Nothobranchius furzeri: one gene and its partner. Each later gene encodes a partner of the first gene's protein in a complex. Links are inferred from orthologs where the notes say so. Each region holds a gene or a part of one and is shown in the gene's direction. Other genes may lie near its edges.

Region 1 (16,749 bases):
CATCAGACGCCATCAAAGAACTGGAGAGCCGGCTCTCAGCACAGATGTCTGAGACGGAAAGACTGAAGGTGTTTTAGATTGATCCGTTTTAAGTGAAGTGATCTGATTTCTGTTCATAAACATTGATCAGTAACCACCGTCACCAACTCCTCCCGCTTTAGGAGAGCCAGGCGGGGTTGGAGCAGCAGCTGGCTTCTGCCACGAGCACCGTGGCTATCCTGCAGACGGAGAAGTCGAAGCTGCAGAGTGAGCTCCAAGAATCCAAGAAGGAGCAGGATGACCTGCTGATGCTGCTGGCAGACCAGGACCAGAAAATCCACGGCCTGAAACAGAGACTCAAAGACCTGGGAGAGCCGGTACAGAAACAACCCACCCTTAGTGGCGAGGTTTTGTCTTCAGGGCTTCAGATTTAGTTTTTAAACTAAATGATATAAAAATGATCGAAGTCTAGCTTGAAGTATCTCTTGCCTCCGTCATCATGGGTTCTGTCATCCATCCTACATCATTGAGCGAGCATCCCCTGAATGGCTCTGGTTCAGTAATGATCTTCACATTTCATTCTGGTCACCATGGCAACAGCAGTCATGCAGAGTGTCATTTTTAGTTTCTGTTAGGTAAAAACTGCTCTTGTTGTGTTTCTGACCCCAGATCAGCTAACGGAGTCGGGCTCCGTCCCGACACCACTCAGCCTTGTTCTGTCTGTCTGCTCTAGTTAGACTATGACTCTTCCCTCGCAGGTGGAAGATGAAGATGACATCGACGCCAGGGAGCAGACATCCGACGAGGAGGACGAAGACGAGGACTAGAAACACTGAAAGGTGTGATGTGAATCTGCCTCCCAAGAGAGAAGAAGAGACTGTCGAAAGTCGCCTGAGAAACTGAGGAATAGGACTAATATATATATATATATATCACAGCAGGTTCTCCACCAAGCTGCCATGCTGTCTTCATAATTCTCATCACATTCTCATATTTAACATTCGGAAAGTTTTTGTTCATGTTTGTTTTTCAGTGATTTAAACTCGTTGGTGCGTTCATCTCCACAAAACCTCTGTGACCAGTTCTGCTTGTCTTCTGTTCTTTAGTTGTTTTTAATGCACAGTCTAATCTGGGAAATCTAAAGAGGAGGGATTTAAAACGTAGCGATAAAAGATGATTATTAATTTAGTGTTTTGTGAGCGTCTCTCCTGCGTTCTGCTCACAACTCTTCTCTGTGCTCCACCCTGGATTCATCCGCCTCCACGCCCAGTACAAGGTTAGTATTACGGAGCTCTTTCCTTTCACCTCGACGGCTCAACACGACTGCTCTGCAACATGCTGCAAAACACTGACGACATAAAAAAACATGCTAAGATGTATTTTTGCAACCCCTTTTGACCCAGTTCTGGCATTAAGCTTCTGTATGATATTCTGTAACTTATGAGTTTAAAGAAAAACCTTGAAATGAATAAAAAATCTATCTGTATGCCATATGGAGGAAAAAAATGTAGGTACATTTTAATAAATCCACAATAAAATGTTTTGGTCTTATCTGCTTTGGATTAAAATATGTAAATATTTATTATAAATATTTAATCAGACTTTTATTTGGAAATATTCTTAAAGAAATTTGGAGCAAATTTAAAATGACAAAAATAAAACTCCATTAGTAAGTAAATGTGTACAAGTAGTTCTACTAAAGCGTGTGAAGCTTCTTGTAACGGCTGCTCCTCACCACTAGGAGGCAACAAACACCTGAGTTTATGTTCTCAATAACATTAACGTTTAATTTGTAGCTGTTTGGTTTCTGCCACAGTTCATTCTACATGAGACTTTCCTCGTGTGGCTGGAGTTTCTTATGTAGAGTATTTTGTTCAGGGGGTTTCGTGCAGACCTGAGATGGAAAAAACGGCTAGAATAGAATAGACTTGATCCCACAGTGGGAAATTTCACTTGGTACTGCAGCACAAACTCTTCAGAAAAATTATAAAAGTGCGCGTGTATATTTATGTCGATGGTATAAACACATAGGCAGTCAAATATTATTGTAACCTTCAACCACTGAAAAACCAAAATGAAACTTAGGTTCCAGAACTACGCAGCATAACACAGACATACTATGTAAATCTGGAACTGACCTCGTACAGAGTATTGCATTGATGTTATTGTGCACCAGTATAATGCCAGTACCAGTTCAACTGAGGAGTTATACAGTCTTACTACAGAGGGGATGAATGATCTAAGGTAGCATTCTGTTTTAAATCTGGGATTTGCCAGTCTGCCTCTGAAGGAGCTGTCCATGGTCTCCACAGTGAGCAGCTCAGTAATACGCTAAACAAATCCTACAGGATGTATGCAAATAACAGCAAGATCTGCATGTTTCAGTCTCGTTTGGTGGTGCCAGGGCCAAACTGATGTCCAGGTGCAGCTTTAGGTGACGGCAGCAGATTGTGCTGATAAACTGGTTATTTGTGCTTCAATTTTCAGAAGCTGCCAAGTTTTAGAAAAGTCTGATTTAACTGTGAAAATAAAGGTGTCTTTTTGGTTCTTGCTGCCTCACCTCTGTGGATGAAAGCCACATACATCATAATTTGATTCCAGGAATATAAATTTGAGGTGGAAAAAAGTGTGATGTATCAAAAGGGTCAGTTTTCACCATAGAATTGACTGTAAACTTTCATGCACGTCAGAGCTGCAAAGTCAAGGTTACGCCAGCTGGAGGGTCCAGATGCACAGATCAACCTTTCGCTCACTTATTGTTCTTCAATGCAGTCGTAAACTGTTGAGGTCTCCCGCTAAAGCCTTATCTCTCTGCTAAAAGTCAGACAGCTGGATTCTTCACTTTGAATAAAAGTGAATCCACACGAATCCTATGAGGCTTTACAACTTATAAGTTAAATAATCATATGAATGAACAAGATATTTAAATGTTTGAAAAACCTGTGCTTAAATTGATGAATTTGAAATGAATATTGTTCTTACAATGATCCATTTATATCACAAATCACTGTTTGATTTAACAAGTTAATCGTTGTTTACACTCATACACATTACAATAAGATACAAGGTTAAAAACATTTTTGTATCTGAAGGAAGGCGTGGCTTTCTGAGGAATGTTTTGGTAAAGCCTTCCAGACATGACACATTCTGATTTGCCAGAATACGCCAGAAATCATAAAGTAGTTTAATAAAACAGGAAATACTTCCCGAGTAATTCAGTTTCTAGCGGAGTTCCGAACCGGCCAATTCGGAACAAGCATCCTTGAGACATCTCTTTTGACATACCGTCAGAACCTGTTTGCACGCTGCAAGCTGACAGCCAGATGGCTCCCTAAGAGCCAGTGGGGCAGCTGTAGCTCAGGTGGTAGAGCGGATTGCCTCATGATCGGAGGGTCATGGGTACGATTCCAGCTCCCGCCAGGGGTATCCTGCTGTTGTGTCCTTGGGCAAGACACTTCACCCAACTTGCCTGTGTTAGTGGTGGTCAGAGGGGCCGACGGCACCAAATGGCAGCCTCGCCTCTGTCAGACCTCCCCAGGGCGGCTCTGGCTACAAGTAGCTTACCATCACTAGCAGTGTGTGAATGTGAGTGTGTATGAAAGCGTCTTTGGGTGTCTAGAAAAGCGCTATATAAGTTCAATGCATTATTATTATTATTATTAAGAGCTACATCCACTTTAGACGTAGAGAGCATTCCAGCTACTGTTGTGACCTGGAGACATCTCGAGACTGGACGGTCGTATCGGAGTTTAATCTACGAAATCCCGGTGCTGTGAGGTCCACCCGACTTCTGACAGTCCGGATCTGCTGGGGGTCTCCGCCAGGGTTTGTAGACACAACAGATTGCGTCTGAAGCTGTTTTATTAATAATCAACTCTCTAGTTTATAGTGGACAACAAATTATTTTTCACCCAGATTTCACAATTTCAAATACAACGGTTCTGATAAACATCTAGGTTATATCACACCCCTACACGTCACATTTCATCACCACATATCCACTCCATCACATCTCATTATTCATATCTTGTCACGTATAATCATTAGTTTAGAAAAGAATAAAATTCCCTTTTAACTTGACTCTGTCTGAATTAATACGAAGTGTGTTTATGGTCCCTGAACGAGTAAAAGTAACTATAATCCTCTGATTAAACATTCAAAGATCAATCAGATTGATATTTCTTATTCATATGGAATCATCACATCTTATTGGTCATAATTAATTTGCAGTCGTCACGCTATAAAGTGTGACCGCCACAAAAGTGAGAAATTTAACAGAGTTATAATAAAGGCTTGAAACATCTCCCTTTTACGTCCATGTCATACATTAGTTTCATTGTATAGCTTGTATTACTGAAATAAATAAACTTTTGTACAATATTCTGATTAAGTTTCACCCATACATGATATCACCTAACAGTTAGTATGAGGCACACAACTGGTTTTTATACTGACTCAAGCCATAAACAGTGTGAATTTTGCAGAGGAACCTTCCCTAGAGTTTAATAAAGTTCTCTCTGAATCTGAAACCTAGCTATGGTGACTTATTCAGAATCTGAATCTTGTGACCACAGAATGAGAGAAGTGCTTCTGAAACCAGGGAACAAAACCTGCAGCGCAAAGAGAAGAAATATTAGACCACACAAGGTTCTATTGCTATATCTATATTATTATCTGCACTAGTTTTTTGCTCCAATTTATTTAAAAGCAAAACAAAAAAACTTTCATTTCTGTTTTCTTGGTTTGGACGTTAGATAAAAGAAGCTATAAAAAGCTCTGACTCCTTCAGCTGAGCACCCTGCTGCATCTTCACGTGTCTAAATCACCTTAGTTGATAAACTAGCTGCACTTGTGAATAGAAAGGCCTGCTAAAGGCAGCTGTTGGTGGTTTGGTGGCAATAAAACTCAAACAATTATGTGTTCAGTTTATTACATCTCAAACAGCTGTGTTCAATAATCTACCGAAGGTCACGTTATCAGGGTATTACTTTGGGAATCCTCTTGTATTATTTTATGTGTCGAACTGTTTAGGATTTTTGTGGATTCTGCTTCATAAATGGGAACAAAAAGTATTTTTTGTGACAGGCTGCTGGTAACAAATTGGTTCTGTGGGAATTCAGCCTTGATTCATCTTTTGAATTTGAAAATATTTTTCATATCTGAATGATTGACTGACAGGGCAGAGTTAAACGACTTAAATACCCAACCATTCCTGTGGAAATGGTGGGGAGGTGGGCTCAGGGGGATGAAAAAGCTACTGAAGAAATAAAAAAAAAGAATTGGAATTTCAGAATTTCTTCCAAAGAAACATTCCTTAGCATCCCTAACATATGAAAATTAAATGACCGGAAACAAAATTATGAAGAATTAGATTTTTTTTTCTGCAGAGGGAAACCTCCCAAGTTTACTGAGACTTCATCAGAAAATGACTGAATCTGAGTTTTTCATGCAGACTGAACATGAAAATAGTCTCCTACACCTATCTCCTGCTTTAGCTTCTGATAGAAAATAGACGGTGAAACTCTAGGATCTGAATATCCTGACAGATCTATGTCACTGTTACCTATAACATTCATATACTCACCCATCTAGACTTGTGACAGCAAGGCTGTTGTTGGTTTGGCGTCCAGGAAACCATAGAGAACATCACAGCTAGTAGAAGCTAACTGTTAGCATTAGCAACTTCATCACACAGCAAAACTCCTTCAAACTTGTGTTATGTATGGAGATATTACATCAACGTTGCAAAGCAAACTAAGTTAGTGCAGAGTTGTGTTGCGGAGACCCGGCAAGATGGCGACCAGGGCACACGCAACTTTCTAAGCTCTGCTCACTTCGTCCCAAACTTTACCTAAAAGGTCCTCTTTAGGCAACAAGAACAAGACGATTACTCTCATATTGAAACTCTCTCTAAACAAACGGAGAAGAATAGACAAAATAATGTCTAAAGAGAAAGACTTTCCGCCGCTCAGACCAATGACCGGTAAGGCCACAAACCCGCTAGCCTTCCATAGCTACTCCATGAACGCAGACCCCATGGCTAAACCGGGAATGACCAGCACTGGCAATACCAAAAGAAATTGCCACTCCGATGGATACGTCAACCCAAAGCAAGGCAAACAGTAGCACTGCAGGTGTTAGAAGACCGCTAACTACTACCCCTACAAAACAACCAACACCTGCTAAAAAAAAAAAAAAAATGGCACCCAAAGTTGAACCTGAGCTCTCCTTAGCTGCTATTTTAGCAGCGATTCACAGCTTGGAGATAAAAGTGGATGGATTTGGAAAGCAACGCAAAGAGAACTCTAACCTATTCACTGGAGTTTTCCAACGGGTCGATCAAAACACGGTGGAAATTGAGGAATGTAAGTCTAAAATTTAAGTTCTGGAGAAAGAACAAGAGCTAAAAAGGGAAAATGCTATCATGAAGGAGAAACTGCTGGAAGCTGAGCGCTATAAACGTCGCTGGAACCTGCGACTTTCGGGGCTCAAAGAGCAAGAAGGAGAAAACATCAGAGAGATGATAGAAGAACTCCTGGTAAAAATCTTTCCTGGCTGGGCTGATAATATTGGCAACGTGACTGACTCGGTAGCAAAAAAAAAAAAAAAAAAAAGGGAGATGCAGACAGATCATCATGCAATTCGTGAGGAGGCTCCACTGGGAGACTGTCTGGAAGACAACAAAAAAATTCACAGATCTGCCAAGAGAGAGGAATTCGCTTCGCCCAGAGCTTCACCAAGGAAGACCGGCTGGCCAGAGAACAACTTTGGCCAAAAGTAAAAATAACCTGAGAATCTTTGAAGACCTCTAGGTTAATTACACTAATGTATGAATGTGGATGTTCTCTGTGCCCTGTAATCTAATGTTTAGATATTGAATGCACAAATGAGTATGCCTTAAAGTCTCTAATATTGAAAAATGTTCAATTAAAAAAAAAACCCATTCCCAAACAGGCGCACTGGAGCTTTTTTTCCCCAGAGAAGACTTAAGGCAGTGAACCTCAACTGGCAGCCCACAGGCCACATCTGGCTCGCCAGACCCCCTAATGGCCCCCAGTTGGGAACTTTATAGATGTTTAGCAACAGCAACATTCATGTCCCAAATATTAATCATTTTTTACGTTCTGCAAACACAAGTAAAAATATAATCCAAACAGCTTAGATAGAGAATAAAGCCATTTTTAACATGAATAAATTAAGATACAATAAAAAAAACTCTGTCCCTTGAACAAATTTAGTTGAGGACCCCTTAAAGCATTCATTCCTACCAGAGACTACTGCAAATGTATTAAAAATATGAGTAAAGTTTAACTTTGATGTAACTCTTCTAAGAGAGTTTGCACAAATAAAACACTTTCCTCTAAAATATCTTTGCTTTTGTCAAATTGACACGAAACTGATTATGAAAAACGATAATTTTGCTTATTTCTAAACTTTTGCTAAAATTGTCGATATAGAATTATACATGTGCAGCTTCCTGTTTGTTTAGAGCTAATTTCAGTCCCAGAATGATCTAAAATCACTTGAGGTTGTACAAAAATGTGTCTGATCCGTTTTATTGTCGTAAGGATCTTTTATCATTTAAATCGTAACAAACCAAGAAAACTGGTCTGCAATTTTAATAATTGCACTTTTAAGACATAAAGGCGCCTCTTAATGCTTTATTTATTTAAAACATTGTTTGATTTGTTGGATTATTTCTGCACATTTGAACAAGAAAACTTTAAGTGTAATGTATAAAACTAGATTATTTTTGGTGCAATACCTGAAAATAAAACTTTCAGGAGTTTGTTCTACTTCAGGTTATTTTTATCCCTGCTCTAAATACCCCTGTGTTCAGAAGGTAATGAGCCGCAAAAGTAGAATCTGTGAATATCTTGCTAACTTTACTGAAGTCCCTTTTTATCCATGCACCTGATGGCCCCTCCCTCCTCCTCCTCCCCTCGTCGCATCTGGTCGCATCACTCCTCCGCTCTCCCTCCTCTTCCTGCGGACTGTACGGGTCAGAGAAGCGGCCTGTTGTTAGCTGTATTCGGACACTTGTGGGTCTGTGAGCTCGGACACTTCCGCAGACAGCAGCCGCCATGCAACAGCATCTGTCTCTGGTGATATAACAACTGATCCCAGCTCAGCCGAGTCCTCCACACACCCGGATCCACCTCCAGCAGCAGCAGCTCCGCCGCTTTAGTCCTCCTTTTCCCGGATCAACCTCCAGCTGCCGCCGCTCGTTGCGCCACATGACCGTCTCAAAGGTGAGTCACCTCCATCTGCGCTGTCTGAGGTGTGGGACTGTGCTGTCAGGACTCTTGAGGAGAGTTTTCATGTGGGAGGGTTCCGCCCGCGTGCTTCTGCAGCCCTGCCATGCCCAAGGTTGAATAGAGGAGGGGAGGTCCAATTTCCAGACTTGTTCATGACCTGGGGTTGATCACTCTCCTCTCTGATGGGATATTTTGCAGGGAAAAGTGTGGATTTAGTAAAGATGTGTGTTTAATTCACTAGCATGGACAGTGACACCCAGTCCTGTGTTTCACCTGATCCAAAAGGCTTCTTCAGTAAAAGTGGGGCAGTGACTGAGTGAGTGCACATGAATCAGTCATGAGTGCAACTCAAGCACATCCTGTAAATATGTCAGATTTAGGCACACAGGCTCCTTTTCACCTGGACTTCCTGGTAGGTTGATGCTGCAAAATGAAAATGACGAATTAGAAGAGATGAGATTCTGTCAAAAATCATAGGATTAAAACAATTACTGGAAATTAGTGACAGACAAGCCAGCATCTAGTGGTTGGGGATTAGATGGAAACACAAAATTACAAGAAAATATGCAAATTTTCTGTTGGACTCATGCCGAAGGGGAACATGTGACACGTTTTGTATAAGTTCGGTCACATAGTGTGTATGATCTAATTGCAAATGAATTGGCAGAGGAGGTAAGTGCCCATCCTGTAACTGTAGTGTTGCAGGTTCAAGGCCCATCTGTCGTAGTCATGTCCTTGGGCAAGACACTTCACCCTCCTTGCCTGCTGGTGGTAGTCAGAGGGACTGGTGGCACCTGTGTATGGCAGCTTCACTTCTGTCCGTGCTCCAGGGCAGCTGTGGCTATGCTGTAGCGCATCACCACAATCGTGTGAATGACCGGTTAGTTTTAAAGCACCTTGGGGGGTTGTAGAACCCTTTATGGTGCTGTATAAATACAGGTTATTTACCATTTGTCCAACTGTTGTGCAAAAATTGTTGCAGCTCTGAAGAGTTCTCCTAATTATGTGTCTTTTTTTTGCAAATTGGTCACCAGCTCTTCCAAAGTAATTTCTCATTGAGAAGGACTCCAGATGCCTGGGACAATTATTTTACTGTTTTCAGAGAAATTCTTTATTGCAATTTTCTTTTTGCAAATACTGACTACAGAGTGTTTGCAGGCTTCTGGTAGCATTTTCAATTTAGCCTCTTTGTGTCAGAAAGTGCAAAAACATGAGACAACTTGGGGAGGTGTTGGCAGTCAAATTGTGAATGAAATGAGGATATAATGTGAGCAAATTGACCGACCCTTACCATCGGCTGGCACTCTACTGGCAACAACTGAACATTCTCTGTCACCTGATAGTAACAGTTTACTGTCTTTAACACATAAAGTACTACTACTAGGTTAGCCGTTTATTTTTTGTGTAGCTGCTCTGTCCTCTCCAACCCTAGTGAGTCGCGACAGACGGCTGCTCATACTGACCCAGGTTTTTAAGGTTTCTTCCTGTTCAAATAACATAGAGATGCTTCGTGCTCCACTGCCCTACTGGTTAAAAGTGGAATAACAACTCTCATAAATAAATCTGCTATAGCTAAAGCTAACTATGAGCTAACATTAACATGAGCTAAGTAAAATGACCCACACTATTGGACAAAATATATTATTACTTACAAGTCCAAGGCTGCACGGTGACGCATTGGTCAGCGCTGTTGCCTTGCAGCACAAAGGTTGCAGGTTCGAAACTCTGCTGCGGCCTTTCTGAGTGGAGTTGCGTGTTCTCCCCATGCATGCGTGGGTTTCCTCTGGGTACTCCGGTTTCCCCCACAGATCACAACATGCCCTATAGGTTATAAATTGTAAGTCGCTTTGGATAAAAGCGTCTGCTAAGTGAATAAACATAAACATAAGTCCAGAAGCAACAAAGCCAGGTCACCATCTGTCTGTGATTTTGTAGCCTCCTTTAGCTTCCTCAAATTAGTGTGGGCTGTGCCGATGTTTACTCCAGTTTTAGCTCTTTGCTTCGCCCCCAAAGACATTCTTCTCTTACTTTTATTTCTAGGCTCCACCATGATGCCAACAGAAAAAGCAGACTTGTTCTTTTTGTGCTTTTTATTGACATTCGGTGAACTAAAAATGCTAACCACTAGCATTACAGCTAACAGCCCTAAAGCAGGTAAAGACAGCTCCCGAAGACACCTACCCTCTCCACAAAACTACCTAGTGCTGGTTTTGGTCAGCAGAGGGCTGCAGTGTGGTGTCAAATATCAAACTGGTCAGCTTTGTAACCCAACAATCACTGAGATCAATGATAAACCTCTAGCTCAAAGTTAGTTTTACTTGAAATGGGAGTTTTCCTCTCCACTGCCGCTACATGCGTACTTAGTATGGGGATTGCTGTAAAGTCGATGCAATCTGCTGGGTTTTCTTACGCAGGAAACTTTTAAATAATGAACTGAACACAGTGCATTGATAAGTAAATTCAATTGGAATGTTTACTTTGTAAAGTGCCTTGAGATGACTCTTGTTGTGAATTGGTGCCATATAGGGCCGCACGATATTAGGGAAACCTGCGATATGCGGTAACAGTGATTAATATTGAGATGACGATATTATTTCCGATATATAAAAACTTCACTGGAACAAAAATAATCAAAAACAAAAATATAAAAAAAGACAAATTAATCATAAAAAAGGAGAAAAGCAAAGGATGTGAAGAAAGGGAAAAAGAAAATGAACAAGAAAAGGCAATCAGTGGATCCCGGGAAAAGCTGAAACAGCAGAAAGAGCAGAACAAAGCTAACTCAGGTGTTTGTTTACCATCAAAATTAAGTGCCGTACACCACGGGGGTGGGCATCTCACCTATGAGAACCCACCCAATTGGCCAAATGGGTGAAGAGCTCTATTTGATTTGTTAAAAAACACCATGCCTCTATTTGATTGACAGACTACATTATGTGTAGCAAACATTTGAGCTGACCATTCATTACGATATTTATCTGTTCTTTGTGATATGCATATTACGTATGCTGATATTGCGATATAGATAAATTTGCAATATATTGTGCAGCCCTAGTGCTATATAAACCAAACTGAACCCAACTGACTTAATTAGATTGGTTTGTAATATATTATAGATGTGTTCAAGTTATTCCATTTCAGTATTCATAATAATCAAGAAATTCAGCTTTGTGGTCCTTAAATCCTCCTTTGTGTGCTTGATGTTGTTGACCCAGGTGTCATCCATGTCTGAACCAGTGGCCCCTTATTGGTCCCTTTCAGGAGTTCTGGGTTCTTCTTCATAAAGAGATCGGACAAAGTGCATCTTGTAGGTTTAAATCATTCTTGAATGCTGATTGTAAATTCATATCTTTACATTAGATGAGCCATTATGGTTTAAAATCAGTTTAAACGTTAGGAACTTGTTCTAGTGTTTGTTTACTCACTAGACAAATTGGAAACCAGCATCACTTTTTGTGATAGTATTCACCTGATATCATGCAAAAACTACTTGATATTCATACATTTGTGCTTCTTATGCAGCAAACAAGCTGCTAATGTGATCATGAAAAAAATCTGGCCTTGTTCCCGGAGTTAATGCTGTCCTCATGTGTGCAAACACACCATCACTCATGTACTCTCTTCGAGGCTGTACTCTGCCGGGCCACCGAAGCTCCACATGGTTCTTGTCCATTGTTTCACTCACTCTCATGTGAATGTAAACAAACGTTAAGACAAAAGACAAAGCAGTTAGAAAACTTGGTGTTTAGTGACCCATGTCTAATGCTGATCATGTTTTAGAATTTGGGTCCGATTTCCCTTGAGTGTACCAGAGTACATTGGCTCGTGCTGGGTCAGGGTTAGGACGGGACCTTGTGTTCAATAATGTTTTGATTATGAGGCTTATGAACCTTAGAACTTCTGCTTACTAAATGAAGTTGAACAAAGTGAACAGACATAAGTGGTTGTTGAATTGCGCTGCTGTGCCCCTAAGATAGTGACAGGGTCTAAAATTAAAATCCAGGAAGGTCTGTGAACATTGTTCTGCAGCTTCATATTCTCTCATTTTATCCTTAAGGATTTCAGTTAAAGGGAACATATTACGCATAATTCACATGTTGCATACTTTTGTGCTGTCTTATGGATTTCTACTAAACTACTAAAAACTATTGAACATATAAAAAAACTTGTCCATCTTTTTTCCGCCAGTGTTTGGTTTTAGGAATAATTTGCCTTAAACAAGCAGTTTCAGAAAGTCCCTGTTTGTGACATCACAAATGTGGAAAATAGAATAGAACCACCTCTCATGTGCAGGAGAGAGCTAATGATGGAGGAGACGTAGTACTAATCTGAGCCCCACCCAGATATCGGAGCTTCTCAGCTTATAGCAGCCTGAGCGTTGGATGGGTGGGCGTGGCCTGGTCCAGCTTGTTTTCTTAAAGTGACAGAGCCCTGAAACAGGTCATTCTGGAAGGTAATGACATTTTTAAGAATAAAACTGCGGAAATGGCTTTATGTGGGAGGGATTCAATGCAAAGAACTTCATGTTTTTGAATTCCTGTGGAACTATTAAAGTACTGATGTCCACTTTTAAGCTACCAACAAACTACAGAATTTATTTGGCTCCAGGGATGCTTTGCCTTAAACTCACAGGTTTCCAACCAGTTTCATATCACAGACCAGCTTTGTCCTAGACGGTTAATGGTGGGGGTGTGGTGAAGTCACTTGCATAACGCAAACATGTTATGCATAAAATGTTATTATTTCATATGCACAAAAGTCTAAACTATAATTTATTGCACTCGTCGTTGAACATGTGGAAAAAATCTCTAATAAGCAACATGTAGATATGGTAAATGGCTTGTATTTGATATAGCGCCTTCTAGAGTGCTGGAACCCCCCAAGGCGCTTAACAACACAACCAGTCATTCACACATTCACACACACATTCACGCACTGGTGGGGATGAGCTACGATGTAGCCACAGCTGCCCTGGGGCGCACTGACAGAGGCGAGGCTGCCGAGCACTGGCGCCACCGGTCCCAAATTTAGAAAGTAGATTCTGATTTTATGACCATCGATATTAATGAGCAACTCAGGATGATCTGAGTGTGATCTAAAGCCTTTCAGGATTCAAGTCTTGGAATACATGCACGGATAAAAAACAAAATCTCAGTCTTCATACCAAAACCTTGTTAAAAATATTCCTACAGAAAGTCCTTTTTGATTTGAACTCATCCTTAAATATGGTAAAACACTCACGCCTTGGCTCTTCCACCTAAGCTCAGTAGATAAACAGCGAGGTCAGTCACTAACCCTCAGCTCTGCTGCGGTTTCATGCAAATTTTCCTGCCCAAATTAAACAAAGAAGAAGTTAGTCCCTCACGATCTGCACACTGTAACGCACTCCATGAGTCTGCAGGGGTTTGCAAAATGTAATCCACAACCATAAACGAGCAGTGTTCCAGCTGGAGTCACGACTTGGTGTGTTAGAGGTGTCGCGCCAACATTCGATCTGTCCAAGGGAGACCGGTGTCCAAATAAGCATTAGTCTGATTACTCTGAAACATCACCACCAAATATGTAAAACTGGGAAAAAAATAAGTTAGTTTGGAAATTCTTTAATAATTTAGGAGTTTTATTAATTTAAACATCGCACTTTGTTTCTAATAGAAAGTCTTTCATGTTGGGTCATAAAACCCTGACCAGGACTCCTGGCATGTTATCAGACTGCTAACACATACCTGAGATTCCCGCTCTTTGTCCAACATGTGACTTGTGTGGTTTGTTATGCTGGACCTCCTTTTTTCCATTTTTCCTGTTAAAAGTGTGAGTTGGTTGTTTTTCTGTTCATCTGTCAGTTAGTTTCCCCCGTGCGTATATCTGCTGTTACCTAAAAGACTTAAAATCCTGTCTCCTTTGATCCTAGATCGAAGGTGTCTTTTGGAATAAATATCCTAAGGAATAAATGTTGTTATATTTATGATCATTTTCCTGATTTTTGTGACTTGAAATGCATTCAGTGGGATGAAGTACGGAAACAGGTCTGATGAAGACGAATTAAAATGAACACAAATAAGCAGATGATTAAAAACCTGTGTGCTTTAGTTCAATTTTTATCAGTTTTCCAAACTAAAATACTTGAGGCTTCAAAATAGTCAGATGTTCCTTTAAAAACTCGCAGATAAATCTGTAGAAGTTAGAAGTACAAAAACGTGTGTGTGTGTGTGTGTGTGGTGGGGGGGGGGGGGGGGGGATATAGTTTTAATAAATATTTTTACTACATGGGACATGCACGGTCAGATCTGAATACGCTGCAATGTTTTGAAGAGGTTATGAGAGCAAATGAGTTGCAGCTCTACCAATCAAAGCTGCGTTTTCATCATGAGGTCATCTGTGTGTGTGTGTGTGTGTGTGTGTGTGTGTGTGTGTGTGTGTGTGTGTGTTTGTGTTGCCATGGCAGCAGCACGACTCACGGTCTGGTAGTGGTTGACTTGTAAATTGGTGTTTACTTGTGTACAGATACTCTGTGGCCTCTCCCAGCTGGATAATGGTACGCCTCACCACACCACAAAACCCGATCAGGAACACAACAAAGAACCTGGTCTGATCCAAATGGGCCCCACACAAACCAGACCCTCCATAGTCAATATCCCAGGCAGGGGCGCTCCAAGAAAATTTTGATAGGGGTCGCCAGACGGGGCCAAATAATCTTTTGGGGGTGGCACACCAAATTGGTCGTTGTGGTAACTCTGGGAGAGCTTAGCCTGTGGCGATGTATTGCATTGCTCCTTTATTCATTTTTATTGAAAAAACAGTACATATCCAAAACATTCATCTTAAATGTTACAAACACAAACATTTCAGAAAAGTACATTTGTCATTTAAAATGTTACTTCTAATATTATTTTAAAATATATATTTTTTAGTTTAATTCACCTGTTGCTGTGTTCACAAAAAATATGGAGATAAAAACTTTTTTTAAATGGTGAGCAGCAGAAACCATTTTTAAAATTCTCATTATTTCTTTACTTATTAATTGTATTATCTTTATTTTGTTTTCCAATCATGTCTTCAATAAACCAGATCAATTTATTCTTTGAGTGAACATTAATATGATTTATTAACACTGGCTTTTGCTGGGGGAGCCAGCATTTTTCTGGCCACCCCTTGGGACACCATTAATCCCAGGGCTGAAGTCCAGTCTCACATGCTTTGTTTACATAGATCTGACTGTAAACACAATGTTTTCTATTGATGATACTGGTGCAAAACGTAATCAGAGTAATAAGTCACGCTTTGAGACCAGAGGAGTTCAGAACAAATCTAGTTCAACAAAGCTGGGCGTTATTTATGTTAGCTTGGTCATCAAACTCTAAAACTTTATCATAAATAACAGTAAGACAATTGTTGTGAATTCTCGTCCCTCTTCAGGCTTTCTGTACATCAACAAAAAAGATGTTTTACAATCAATCAATCAATCAATCAATCAAAGCTTTATTTATAAAGCGCCTTCCGCAACCCTGTCAGGAAGCCCAAAGCGCTGAACATTGTACAGTTGTATGTAAATATATTGAATAAATCAACAATAAAAGAAATTCAAATTACAAAATACAAATTACAAAATACAAAATGGAAATTACAAGATAGATGAAACATTCCGGTAAAGGACAAATGTGTGAAACGCATTTGGATTGAGTGGATGGATTGAGTGTACCAATGAAAACTGTGGAATGGATTCAACATAAAAGAGGGCCAAAATCAAACATGTTCTGCAAACGCCAAGCGGAGGAGGTGTGTTTTTAGGTGATTCTTAAAGACTGGCAGAGAAGGGGACAGCCTAACTGAGGGTGGCAACTGGTTCCAGAGTAACGGTGCTAGGACTGAGAAAGCCCGGTCCCCACGGGTACGACACCTAGACCGAGGGACAGCGAGCAGGCCTTGGTCAGAGGAGCGCAGAGTGCGTGATGGGGAGTGTCTTTTCAGGAGTGTGGCTAGATAGGGGGGACCACCACCCTGGAAGAAATGATAAACAAAGACGAGTATTTTGAATTGTGAGCGATAGCAAATCGGAAGCCAGTGCAGGGAGGCCAGAACTGGACTGATGTGGTCCCGTTTCCTGGTCCCAGTCAGGGACAGTTACAGTTACAGTTACAATTATTTTGCTGTCGTTTCTGTTAAAAATTCACCTATTCTGGTTTTCAAGGCAGGTATTGATTCCTGATTCCTGCAAAGTTCTGACATGCCGATACCAGATTTGGTGATTTCTGATTTAACAACAGCTGATTTTTCTTTGCTGCAGCGGTCATTCCCTCAGGAATGTCACAAGATTGCTTTTGAATAGGGATGGGTACCTTTGACATCTGAATCGATCCGGTACTAATTCTCGGTACCTACAAATCGATACCGGTACTTAACGGTACCAATTTTCGATACTTTTGAGTGTTTAATATTTTAATTCTCTTTTATAATTAAATATATATTTTTCTCAATATATAACCATATTTGATAAATATCACGATAAATAACATTC
Region 2 (13,581 bases), on another chromosome or scaffold:
AAAGCCAGAATAGGAGACCTGGACAAGAAGAAATATCTTGTCCCTTCTGACTTGACAGGTAGGGTTGAAGTTGAAAGCCTGGTTTCTAACTGTTTTAAAGAATATCTGCAACTAAACTAATGTTTTTCTTTAACAGTGGGTCAGTTTTACTTCTTAATCCGCAAAAGAATCCACTTGCGAGCAGAGGATGCTCTCTTCTTCTTTGTAAACAACGTCATTCCGCCCACCTCAGCTACCATGGGACTGTTGTACCAGGTGAGACACTCTTAACATTAAAGCAACACTAAAGTTTCCCATTTCTCCCTCCTACTAGTTGAAAGCAGTTACAACTGTTGCGATCAAATAGGCTGTAACTAGTGCTTTTAATAAGCTATTGCCTACTAGGGTTTAACCAGTTTGACTATTAACCCTGGTTAACCCACCAAAAAGATGCATCCAACACCACCAATAAAAAAACAAAAAGACAATAGTGTATGGTGTTGGGGTTTTTTGGTGGGTTAACCAGGGTTAATAGTAAAACGACCGATTAATCCCTGCAACCTCAATGCTAACTTAAGCCAGCTATTAATAAAATAAGCCACAGAATAAAAAGATCCACTCTGTTGGTCAAAAAATATTACAGTTCCAGTAACAACAAAGCCAGGTCACCATCAGTCAGTGATTTTGTAGCCTCATCGTGCTCCCTCAAACTAGTGTAGGCCGTGCCAATGTTCAATCTGATTTAGGCTCATGTCTTCACCTCCAAAGACATTTTTTTACTTCATGATGCCAACAAAATAAGCTAATTTCTTCTCTTTTTTTAAAAGTATAATTAGCAAATAGAAAAAGGTAACTGTTAGCCTTTACATTAGCCAGGGTATCTGCGAGTCCTTAAAAAGTCTTAAATTTGCTTTTCCAAATTTAAGGCCTTAAAAATCCTTAAAAATGACAAATAAACCTCAAATAGTTTACAAAGGTCTTAAATTACCAAAGACCCAATAAACAAGATTTTTTTATTTCTATAAAATTCTCGTGAATTTCTAGTTAGTGGTCAGCATTTTTTGTATATGATATTGGCGTAAGCGGAACCGTACACATTCGGTCGGTTGTGAAAGGGGGCTATTTTTAGATGAGCATGCTAGTGGGAGTTTGCGCCATGGGGATGTGCAACATTAATGGTAACTGGATGGCTAATCCCACGTTCGCGACGTGGTTAGCATCGGATCCAGGCAATAGCTGGAAATTATAGCTGAAATTTTAAAAAATTGCTTAAATTTGGTCAAAGTGGCCTTAAAAAAGTCTTAAATTTGGCTCCCTTAAACCTGCAGATACCCTGATTAGCTATCGACGCAGTAAGCTGCCAACAGTCGTAAATCAGGTAGAGACTTCCCACTTTTGTTTTTACCCAAACCACAAAAATGTTCGGTGCAGTTTGTGGCCAGCAGAGGGCCACAGAATGCGGTCTAATGTGAAGTTGCTCAGTTTGGTGGCTCCAGAATCGCTGAAAGCAGTTTGAAAGCAATAGCGGAATGTGTTTAAAACTCTTTAGTGTTGCTTCTTTGTATTTTTGACATAATCTCAATGTTTTATCCCATAATTGTTTCTCAGGAGCACCACGAGGAGGACTTTTTCCTCTACATTGCCTACAGTGACGAGAGCGTGTATGGGAACAGCCAAAGGGAAATCTGATCCCCCCCCAACCACCACCCACCTTTCTGAGACCTCTGTCTTTCAGTCATTTGAATATTAAATCCAGTTCCGCAGCTTAGAGTTCCCCACAGTAAACCCATCTAATGCACTTTCATCTCAACTCTACATCACCTCTCTCTCAGTCGTCTGGTCTTTATCGTTCTGCAGTCTGAATTGTATTCAGTAACTCTTCTCACCTGGTGGTCTCAAGGCCAGTTATGTTTCTAGTGCCGTTATCGGCCGATGAGAAGGAAAATTAAATCAGTTATTAATGGTGCAAAACTTAATAATTAGGTGTGCAGTTTTAGAATGATTTAGAATAGGAAATTATTACTTCTGAATTAAAGGCTTGTAGTTTTGTCTCTGGCAGGGGAAGGGATAACTTTTGCAGCAGCTGCTTCTTAGGAAAAAACTTTTTATTTTTTATTTTTGGAAGACATCTATTTAATTAAATAAAATCTACAATGTGGTGCCCTGCATCTGATCTCAGCAAGGAGTTCAGTAGAATTCAGACTTCACACGATCATGCTCTGCTCTCAGTGGTAAAGTTATGTTGACTGCTACTATGATTATTGTTGTAATTGTTCATTTTAGATGGCTTATTTTCTAAAGGTATTGTAAAGCTGAGTGCAATTTTTTTAAAGTTTGTTTTCTTTAATAACAGATTGAACTCTGTATACAGCTGCTTTACTGGCTCTCTCTCTCCATTCAATGCCGTACTTGATAAAATGTTATTAGAAATCTATTTGTGGTTTTTATTGAATTTTGGATCTTGAACAGCAGTTGTTGATGTTCAAACGTCAGTTTTGTTCAGCCTTTAGATTCTGTTCCTCTATTTGAAAGGTGTGACTTACTGCCTTAAGATTTGAGGGTGCTCAGTTTAACCAGGAAACACAAACTTTTTATTCTAATAGTAGAAAATTGCTCATCAGGTACATGTTTTCTAATTGAATGTTCTTAATCACACACACAAATCCAGAGTAAGATGCGGTGGGACATTCCAATTCAATAATTTTACATATTTTACAAATTTTACACCATTCAACAGCATCTCCTCTCACTACCAACCCTCAGCACCCCCCACCCCCCCTAAATCTGACCAGGTGAGGAGAGAACCAAGGTGGCTTAAGAGCAGGAAGGCTGCAGGTCCTGGCGGGATCAGCCCCAGAGTGCTCAAAGACGCACATGTCACGCACATGTTCAACCTGAGCCTTCAGTTGGAGCAGGTCCACGTTACGTGGACGACCTCCTGTGTGGTTCCAGTTCCCAAAACATCACATCCCTGGGAACCAGACCACTACAGACCAGTCGCCTTGATCTCCCATCTGATGGAAGATTATGGAGAGACTCATCTTTACCCATTTACGTTCAATGGTGAGCCTGGAAGTAGATCCACTGCAATTTGCATAGAAACCAAACATGAGGTGGAGGACGTGCTCATCTACCTGCAGCACCAGGCCCCGACACCTTGAGGTGCAAAAAAGCACTGAGAAAAATGTTCTTCGACTTCTCAAGTGCTTTCAACACGTCCAGCCGTGTCTACTGCAGCAGAAGATGAGGGGTGCAGGAGCGGACGAACATCTGACTGCATGGACCACTTGCAGTATGCTGCATAGTTCTGGAACCCAAGTTTTTAAATTTTCATTCATGGTTTTTAGTGGTCGAAGGTTACGATAATAGCTTACTGCTTGTGTTTATATATACATGTACCTTTTGTTGTTCTTCAAATAATTCTTTTAAGCGTTTGTGCTTCTGTGAGAAGTGAATTTCCCCCCACTGTGGGATCAATAAAGTCTATTCTTTTCTAAATCAACAGTACTTTTCAAAGAGCTAAACTCTAAAAACATTTTAAGTGTGATGTACTTATTTTAAGGTTTTCAGATAATGAACAAAGATTCTTGGTCAAAACCATGAAGGATGTTGTCCATTTTCCAAGCTCATAAATAGTACGGGTAAAACTACAATTCCCTTGATGCTTTGCGAAGGAAACATCACCACCGAAAGTGCAAATTGACTTCCTCACCCGGGCCCAAAACCGCTCCTTGCTCATTTATACCTGCGCAGAAGTTTAAGCTAAATACGCCACAGATAGAATACTGGAGCATATTTAAATTCTTCGTAAACGACTCACAAAACGACAAAAGTAAGTTTAAATACATTTTGCAAATTGACATTCAAGTAAAGTCGATCTAAACCAGGCAACACGGCGACGTGCTTTGCATCTAGCTAGCAAACCGTAACTCCCTATGTGTCCCCAAAAAACTAATTTGTCACAGTTTTGCTTGTGAAGAAGCACATAGCTTGTGTTTCAAAATGTATTCGTGTTTGCAGGAGAGTTTTAAGTTAGAAATATTCATAATAACGTGTATTACAGTATTTGTTAGCCTAGCCTACAGCTAATAGCATTTTATCCCATTTTACTCGTGCTTTATTATGGAGTTGCTACACGCTAGCTACGTACTGCCCAATGTAATGATTTCCGGGTCTGCTTGGTGACCCTGTAATGATGTTCTTAACCACACTAGCTGGCCCCTCCGCTGCCTGTCACTATGCCCGCACTGCTGGAGAGACCCAAGCTGTCTAACGCGATGGCCAGAGCCCTCCACAAGCACATCATGAGGGAGAGGGAGCGCAAGAGGCAAGGTGTGTTGGTGCTTCTCTGACTGAACGGACCATATACTGAACTTGTAGCCGATACAATACACTTTCTGTACAATTCTGATTTTGTTCCATTCTGTTCTAGAATCTCAGTCCTTTTAAAAAAAAATCCCAGTTCTCATCCCCATCCAGTTCTTTTCTACAGTCATTGGTTACTAAACTAGACAATTTTTGCTCCAAGACACAAACATCAACAGGCAATTGATCTAAACGATGAAAATGTTCATTTAATTATCAAAATGTGTCTACATTTATCTAGTGTTTATTCTTCTCTAAATAATGTAGGTTTTCTGCGTGCTTAATAATGTGATTTTCAGAGGAAGAGGAAGTAGACAAGATGATGGAGCAGAAGCTAAAGGAAGAGGAGGAGAGAAAGAGGACAAAGGAGATAGAGGAGAGGATGTCGTTAGAGGAAACCAAAGAACAGGTTGGTAACATAAAAATCACATTTCCATCTTCAGCTTGTTTTATTTTTGTTAATAATAATAATAAATGTTATTTAAAAGTGCCTTTCTATACACTCAAGGTGACTGTACATGATAAAAACACAAATTTATTAAATAAGTAAGTAAGTAAACATAAGTACAAGGAAAGAAAATAAACAAGGCACTCTAAAATTCAAAGTAGATGGGTGGTTTAAAAAAGAGGTGAGTCTTGAGCTGGTTTTGAATCGAGTAAGTGAGTTTATGTTCCTGATGCGAGGGGGAAGGGAGGTCCAGAGTTTGGGAGCGATGAAACAGAAGGCTCTACTCCCCATGGCGCTGAGGCGTACAGAGGGCACAGAGAGATGAAGGAGGAGGATGATCTGAGGGAACGGGACGAGGTGACGACATGGAGATCTGTTAGGTAATGAGGGTCAAGGTTATGGACGGCCTCGAAGGTGAGCAGGAGAATTGTAAAATCGATCCTGGCTTGCAGTGGAATCCAATGAAGCTGTTGAGGATGGGGTGATATGGTGAGGTAAGGGAGTTTTTGTTAGGACACGTGCTGCTGAATGTTGTACCAACTGGAGCTTACGGCGTTATCAGAGTTAATAGCTCTGATACAAAAACATGCTGTGCCTGTATTTTAACACCAGGTGATGAAGATGGAAGAAAAGCTGCAGGGACTCCAAGAGGAGAAGCATCAGTTGTTTTTACAACTCAAGAAAGTTCTCCACGAAGAAGAGAAGAGGCGCAGAAAGGAGCAGAGGTATAACCCAATAATATTATGGAGTTTTTTTTTTAAATCATTTAATGACTGGTGGAATTCAGCCTGTGCCCCTTCCTGTTTCTGTAGTGACATCACTACCCTGACATCAGCCAGCTACCAGCCCAGTCTGTCCATGCACACAGGGCAGCACCTCCTCAGTATCCCAGGTGAGACAGCGTCACTGGTCCTCCGTCAGGAACTGTAGGCGGTAGTTTTAACTGTCCTGTGACTTCTGTTGTCTCAGGCAGCCCAGTCAGCCACAGTCGACCCGGCGCTCTGCTGGGAGAACGCAGCAAACAGCTGTTCTCTGCTTCTGTGATCCCTGTAAGTCAACAGGATCTCTGGCCTCCCCTAAACATCAAATGTACTCATTTTTATTCTAAACAGTCTCTGTGTAAACAGAAGTGAGAAGAAATAAGAAGTCCCTTTTCTTAATACCTTCATCTCCCCTTGTAGACCCGCCATTATCAGACCCCCACATTCAGTTCAGGCTCAGCAGAACACGGACAGTTCAGCGGGAGCCAGGGCGTCCATGAGCCTTACGGGGTGGCTCAGGCCCAGCACCCCTCCTCCTATGCTCCAGGACCTTCAGTACCCGTCAGTTTCCCCAGCAGTTCTCAGATCAGAGGTGAGGCATCAGTAACGTGAATCAGCTTGAGGACAACAGGAAGTGTTGTCTAAACATCTGTTTACCTTCAGGTGCGTCTGCGTTTCAAGCCATGCAGTACCTCCCTCATCAGCAGGCTGGTTATCCTGTTCACAGCCCTTTTACCTCTCAGTCAGGTGAGTCTCACCCGTATGTCGCAGCCCAGCGCTGTTGTTTAAACTACGCTTGATGTTTTGTTTTTTTACTTAGTAGGAATTGTTTGTTTCAGGATACATCCCAGCACCAACGATATCTCTACAGAAGCAGCTGGAACACGCCAACCAACAGTCCGGCTTTACTGATGCTGTAAGAGCAAAATGTTTGAAATTACTGCGTTTTTTTTTTTTTTTTTTTTTTGTTTAACGGGGACATATTATGCAAAACTAACCTATAGCATCCCTTTGTGCTGCCATGTGAGTCTATACTGCCTCTGTAATAATAATATTGATTTATGAAGCACTTTCCATTATTTACTCAATGCTGGTGATGGTAAACTACTATGTAGCCACAGCTGCCCTGGGGCAGTCTGACAGAGACCAGGCTGCCTTTTTGCGTGATCGACCCCTCTGACCACCACCAACAAAGACAAGTTAAGCCGGGCGTACACTGTGCGACTTTTTCAATTTTTTGAGCCGATTTTCCAGTCGTGCGAGAATCCACGAGATCGGGGCGAGTTTTGCGCCGAGCGTCGTGTAGTGTACAGGGGGTTACGAGAGGCGATTAACACCACGTGACCAGCTACCGATCAGCAGTCGTGAGCTCGCACGGACTTCTGGCGTGTTTAATATTTTGCTCGTCCCTCGTGAGGGTATCGCACTGTTGAAGCGGCGCTGCGAGCAGCTGCAACCCAAAATGTATCAGAACCGCTCACGGCGCATGCGCAATCCTGCATCAACACCGTTCGCTCGCTATTTCCCTAATAACACACGTTGTCCGTTTTAATTTCTACACGTTTTTTACACACAAAGATTGTCAAGAAAGCGTGTTTGTCGTGTTCATGTCAAATTAAACTGATCACAAAACACAGATTTACTTTCTTTATTTCGTTTTCCTCATCCAACCCCCATAAATCCCTGTGCGTCCTCCTGCAGCACTCCTGAAGGACAACAGGCAAAACAAGACAAAAAAGTCTGACGTGTTGTGTAAAAACTGCTATTTTTAGCATATTTTTGGGCCGACCTGTTGCTACCAGACGTACAGTGTGAGCAGTCAGGTCGTATCCGAGAACTGGGTCGTGCAGTGTGAGCGCATGACTCGTGAGATCTGCCCTGCGAGGAAGTCGTACAGTTAGAGCTGAAGCTGAGTGCTACGAGTGAAAAAGTCGCACAGTGTCCGCCTGGCTTTAGGTGACGTGTCTTGCTCAAGGAAACAGCAGCTAAATTCTCTGCGGGGGGGGGGGGGGCATCGATCCTGCAAACCTACAATTACTCGACAACCCCGCTCTACCTCCTGAGCTACTGCTGTTGCCCTAAAAACACCCCAAATGTGAAAAATAAAACCTCCATCCGTTTTCTTTCAGTGTTTGGTTTTAGGAATTATGTGCCTAAAATGAGCTGTTTCCAAAAGTTCACATTTGTGATGTCACAACAGGAAAACCAGAATAGAGCCACTTCTCAGGTGCAAGAGAGAGGTGCTGCGGGGGGATCAGTGGCTCTATTACAAGCCTCCCATGGATGTCGGAGCCTCCCACCTAACCGTAGCTCATCAGGGGGTGGGTGGTCGTGGCCCACTAGCTTGTTTTCTTAAAGTGACAGAGCCCTGAAACGGCTCATTTAGGAAGGAACTGAAACCATCAAGAATAAAACAGCTGAAAGATCTTTATGTGGGAGGGATTTAGTGCAGACCATAGACTATTACACCTTAAGACAGAAGTCACAGTACATCCCCTTCAAACAAGAACGCCGCACTACAGCAGCTTCTCCAACCTGCACTTGAGTTTGCTGTTTAGTGTTTTGGTTCTGTGTCTTGTTGATGTTTCAGGGCGGTTTGAGGCCCATGCACCCCTCAGCCATGCATCCCTCAGCCCAAGGTCTGCTGCCTGCACCTATGGTCCAGATCCCTACTGCTAAGGTGAACCATACAAATATAAACACACGCTTTCCACCACCTGTTTTATGCTTCTTATAATCAGTGATGTAAAAATCAGCAACAATCTGCCCCGCTGTGTCACCTCTCAGCTGGCTAGTGCTGGGTTAACGGTGATGCGGACAGCCCATTAGTAGTGTTTACACAGGACTTTGTTTCTGTTGTAAACATGTGGCTCAGGTTTTGATAGTGATTCACCACCTCTCATTCTTGTTGTAAATATCTCCCTGAACAGCCTCAGTTCAGAGAAATGAAGGTCACACCGGACAGGACCGTTAAGCTAACAGCGAAAGTCTTAAAACCAATATTTCATGTAATGTTTAATCCTCCCACTTAGTCATTTAGATGGAAATCTGTTTCCGCAAGAGCATAAGTAACAGCAGGGATGTCCTGATGTTACCAAAACAAGGCTGTGTTGGAAAACGTACGTGGTAAAGGTTTATGGAGGTCACGCGTCAGTTTTCTGTTGCTGACATGTTTATAAATGAAACATCGCCCTTTTTTTAGGCGGTTTTGTTTTGTGTTTATGACCAGGCCCCCTTCCAGAGCTCTCCGCAGGGCACTCCTCGTCACAGCTTCCTGTCCCACAGCCAGAGCGGGCAGAGGTTTTACCACCATGGCAAGTAGCCCACAGCGCCCTCAGCATCCGCTTCCCGGACACTCTGGAGACGCCGTCGGACCTGGTCTTGATGTTTTAAACCTTTTTGATGTAAAGTTTGTACAGTAGCTTTCATCGCTTCTGGTTTAAAGTCCTCAAACTCGCACTTGTCTTTTTTGTTCTCACTACACTTTTAAATAGTAAATTTGTAAAATAACTGTATTACAGACCCAGAATTTTTAGTTTCTCCATAAATGATTGGAATTAGACCAATGAGACTGGTCCCGCACACATTAACTAGTTAAGCTTAAACACTTTGTCCCAAGTTTTTGTCTGTCCTCGGATGACCTTTTGTAACACGATTTGGAGGAAAACCAGCTGTAGCATAAATAAAGTTGGGTTATTTGGAATTATTCACTTAAATGTTGCTAAATAAACAAATCACTTTTCAACTGTTTTTGCCATTCTTTCCTTTTTATTGTTTGCCCACAGAGACGTCCTGCAAAGTCGGGCCTGGTTAAGTAAACTGCTGCTCTGAAAACAAATCTGTTCCAGGTTGGAGTCATTTCTTCCCAAAGTTTCTGCAAAGAGCTTCCCAGGAGTTGTTTTTGGACACAAAACAAAAGGAAGGTTGCGTTGTTCCGCATAGGCGCCAGGTGATGGAGCTGCTTCAGACCAGGTGTTGTGCAGAAATACGAATCCGCCTGCTGAACAGACCTCCACTGGAGATGAAGCCCTTCATAAATCAGGGATCAATAAAAAGAAAACACTGTCCCTCTTCTTTCTAAAGGTGATCATCTATTTTAAATATGCACACCTGTTCTGGTTTATGATCACGTAGTCGGGACGTGAACTGTGACCGAGCCCACAGGAGGGTCAGAAAACTGGAGAGAATGAAAAAAAAACGCAGACGAGTCATTAGCTCCCTTCGTTTCCATTGGTCTTGATTGCCCCTGAAACAGTTGCAAGGAAGAAAGAGAGAAAAGGGGAGGCGGAGTCAGGAACCATAAACGTATTTATAGGCGAAGAAAAATTACATTTCAGTGTTTTGAAATATTTAATTTATAACTCTTGATTCTACAGCCCATGTGACATAGAAAGGTGCCGTCTGAGGCTGTAAAGTCAAGAGTTCATCATTAAAATACACACCAGGAGCCTCCAGCTCTCACGGATTGTAAAGTGCGACATTAGAAGTGGTAACATGGAACAAAAGCATATGTCACAATTCATCCAGACAGGAAACCTGAAAAAGGTGCGTCTCAATATGGGGTGCCATTTGTAAAGTCAAACAGTCATAATCTAACAGCAATATTTTTGGTTATTTAGCATATCATAAGAGAAAAAAATGGGAGTTCACTTGTTCGAAATCATATTTTCACCATGTTATTCAGACATTTATAAATGTTAAAGTTTCCAAATAAATATTTAGTTGGCAAGCTAAATATTTAATTTGTAGTTAAATATTTATTTTGCAAGCTAAATATTTAGGTCTGATCTAAATATTTAGTTTGTAAAATAAATATTTAATTCACTAACTAAATATTTAATTTACTAATTAAATATTTATTTTGGAACTAAATATTTAATTTGTAAATTAAATATTTATTTTCCCAAAAAAATATTTAGATCTCAGCTAAATATTTATTTTGGAGCAAAACATTTAGTTTGCAAAATCAGTATTTGGGAAATAAATATTTAAGTCTGACCCAAAAATATAAAATATAGTGTGGAGCTAAATAACATCGTGGAAAATAAATATTTAGCTGGTACTTAAACATTTAGCTAATATGCAAATTCACTTGCCAATAAGCGGAAGTTGGTTACCAAAATAAAAGCTGGATCTCGCTAACTTCTTTATAAACTCTTGCTCCGAACCAGAACTTGTTTTGTCTCCGGTTCTATTCTTCTGAACATGTCCGACGTATTGGCTGAAGAAAAAGTGAACTCCCAATTTTTTCTCTTATGATATGCTAAATAACCAAAAATATTGCTGTTAGATTATGACTGTTTGACTTTACAAATGGCACCCCATATCTCAAACACGTATGTGCAAGTTCAACAGCGCAAACACAGATTTACGCAATAGCAAGTGTGAGTAAATGGATACATTCATTCAGTTAAATAATACATCAACTCTAACTTGAGCAGCGGCGGCGGGACCGTCTTCCCTTTGAGTCTGAACACACACACAGATGTAATCGGACGTTTCAGACACACTCTTCTCCAGGTGGGTTCAGGTCTGGCGGATTTACCTGCTCGGGCTCATTTCCCCAAGGCTTTGATGCCGATGGCGGCTTCCTCTTCCATAGCATTTAGAACGGTGATCTGGGAAAGAAAAAAGGAATCACGTTCTTTTTTTTTTTTTTGTGAAGGAATGTTTTGAATTTAGTACTCAGGGCAACGAGTGAGTGGTTCTGACCAGAATCTCTTCTCCAGCTTCATGTTTGCTCTCTATTTCTTTTCCAAGGTCTCCCTCTGGAATCTTCAGGTCCTCCCGGACTTCCCCGCTGTCCTGGAGCAGGGACAAGTATCCGTCCTGGATCCCGATGAGCTGGGAGACGGCAGCAAGTGGTCAGGATGAGTCAGAGATAGTTGTGACCCAAACAGGCTGTTCTTGTTGGGCCGATTCCACTTCTCCATGTCAGTGATTGGGGTGGGATGACACAGGACACATCCGGAACTCTGAGACTGCTTTTCCTTCAGCAGGAAACACGACTCTGGTCATGTTTGGCTCTATTCAGCCATTATTATTTATTCATGAAGGGTTTGTTAAAATATGCATGCATAGTAAAATTAAAAACACTTTAAGCTTTCTTTCTGTCCACGAGGATCACAAACAGAATACTGATGTGTGTGATGAAACTGCTCAGCTGCTAAATGCTCCACGTTTATTTACATAAAACTACAGTTATGTGTATAAAATAGTATATTTCTATCAACTTGCAGCACTTCTAGACAGCCATTTATAATATATCTGCTGATATTATGTTATAATGTAAATTCTTCATCAGTGTAAATGAAAGTGTTTACGTCGTATCCATGACGTGTTTAAAATCGGTCCTCGTTCACTTCATTTCTCATAAATCTGCTGTGGACTAGTGTGACCGAACGCCTTGTGGGTCATTTTTTTGGTGTGTCTGTTTCAGGAAGTTAGCCGGAGAAGTGGGGGCTGGAAAACGGTTGCATTTAGAGTCTTATTCATCTGATTGGCCAACAGCAGCGTGATTCTTCCGCTGCCTTTGCTTGCTCTTCTGTTTCGGCTCTCGGGACTGGATGTGGCCGGTTTATGATGAAAGTACTTATCCTGAAACTATGTTCTGGCCACTTTAAGGCCAGAAGGGGTCTGATGCTGGCAGTCTACTAGTGTTTAAGATGGCCGCCTGGTTGCAGTACTGCTCGGACTAGCCGCTAGCTCATCAATTGGGACCAAAGCTTTAACAGAGCTGGTGCAGCTCTAGCTCTGATTATATATGAGGACTAAAAGGTTCTTGACCAAAGCCCATTAAATCAAATATGGCTGCCCACTAGAGTCTAAGGCCCAATCTCAATACTCGCACTGCGGTTTTCAGCAAAGTGCACTTGGAGAAAGTGAGCAGTAGGGTTTGAGTGTTTAGTACACAAGTGCAAATAATTGCCGAATTGAGACAGGGAGCATTACGCCATCGATTGCAACGCATGCCGGGATGCTGGTGGCTGTGAAACTTTTCTCAAAAACCTTTATTAACATCTTTCGTTCAAACAAACAACAAAGCAATTACAAATAATTTAAGTTCATTGCTGCTTTGTCTAAAACATTCAGAGCATCAACTAATCGTTCTAAAATGAACTTATTTCATTAGAGAATACATATTTTCAGAAAAGGAACTTGAGCCGTTTCTCCTGCAGCAATGACTTGTGGGTAATACCCTTGCCCGAGGTCCGCATCGCTGCGGACTTGGGTGAAGCGCAGATTAAGGGTGCAACGGGGGCGTGGTCAACTTCCGTACTTGAGAATCGGGACACCCTACGCACTCGCACCCCTGGCCGAGAACGCGCAATTGAAGGGTGCAAGTGTAAGTATTGAGATTGGGTCTCACTGCTTAATTTCCACCCAAAATATCTATTTTACTTTACTTATTTTTAATACAGTTGCAGCGGTCATAGTAGAAACGAATGCCTTGTAATCCATTCTCTGGGGAATAACAGAAGAAAGCAGCTTCAGATGGCAGGATTTGGATTTCCTGATATTAGGACATCTCATCTCTGATTGGCTAACAGCAACACGAGACTGCCACTGACTCTGCTTGCTCTGCATTGTTGAGGTTTTATTCTCCACAATTAACTCAAGCCTGGAGGAGTTCTGCCGTGTGGTGGAGTTGCTAATGCTAATGGTTAGCTTCTACTGGCCGAGATGTTCTCTGCTGTTTCCTGGACGCTAAACCAACAACAGCCTTCCCCGTCGTGAGTCCAGATGGGTGAGTCCATGAATGTTAGTGACAGTGTGACACAGATCTGTCAGGCTTTTCTAATCCTAAAGTTTCGTAGTCTACTTTCTATCAGAAGCTAATGCAGGAGATAGGTGTAGGAGACTATTTTCATGTTCAGCCTGCAGGAAAAACTCAGAGATTGATGATTTTCCAAAAAATAAAAAATTGTTTGTCAGTGAACTTGCTCTTTAAATAAATCTTAACACACTGCAAACTCTGAAACAGTGTTTACAAGCATCACATGAGAGACTATACCACCAGAGTTATTT

The links.
Region 2: coro2aa (region 1) and gps2 share a complex: the UniProt entries of both Homo sapiens proteins name them as parts of the N-Cor repressor complex. The link is inferred for Nothobranchius furzeri from reciprocal best matches to the Homo sapiens genes CORO2A and GPS2.

What each region holds. Positions count from the first base shown.
Region 1 is NC_091744.1:13,159,424-13,176,172, forward strand, and holds the start of coro2aa (coronin-2A), read left to right. Parts: upstream 1-7,917; 5' UTR 7,918-8,216; coding exon 8,217-8,231; intron 8,232-16,749. Other genes in the region: uso1 (general vesicular transport factor p115), read left to right, coding at 1-68, 162-356, 738-806.
Region 2 is NC_091742.1:53,235,442-53,249,022, forward strand, and holds gps2 (G protein pathway suppressor 2), read left to right. Parts: upstream 1-3,671; 5' UTR 3,672-3,811; intron 3,812-4,193; 5' UTR 4,194-4,217; coding exon 4,218-4,311; intron 4,312-4,643; coding exon 4,644-4,753; intron 4,754-5,404; coding exon 5,405-5,517; intron 5,518-5,604; coding exon 5,605-5,684; intron 5,685-5,761; coding exon 5,762-5,841; intron 5,842-5,973; coding exon 5,974-6,145; intron 6,146-6,216; coding exon 6,217-6,300; intron 6,301-6,392; coding exon 6,393-6,469; intron 6,470-8,143; coding exon 8,144-8,233; intron 8,234-8,782; coding exon 8,783-8,875; 3' UTR 8,876-9,298; downstream 9,299-13,581. Other genes in the region: gabarapb (gamma-aminobutyric acid receptor-associated protein), read left to right, coding at 1-58, 137-255, 1,588-1,668; eukaryotic translation initiation factor 5A-1, read right to left, coding at 11,109-11,171, 11,266-11,397. UniProt on the Homo sapiens protein: Key regulator of inflammation, lipid metabolism and mitochondrion homeostasis that acts by inhibiting the activity of the ubiquitin-conjugating enzyme UBE2N/Ubc13, thereby inhibiting 'Lys-63'-linked ubiquitination.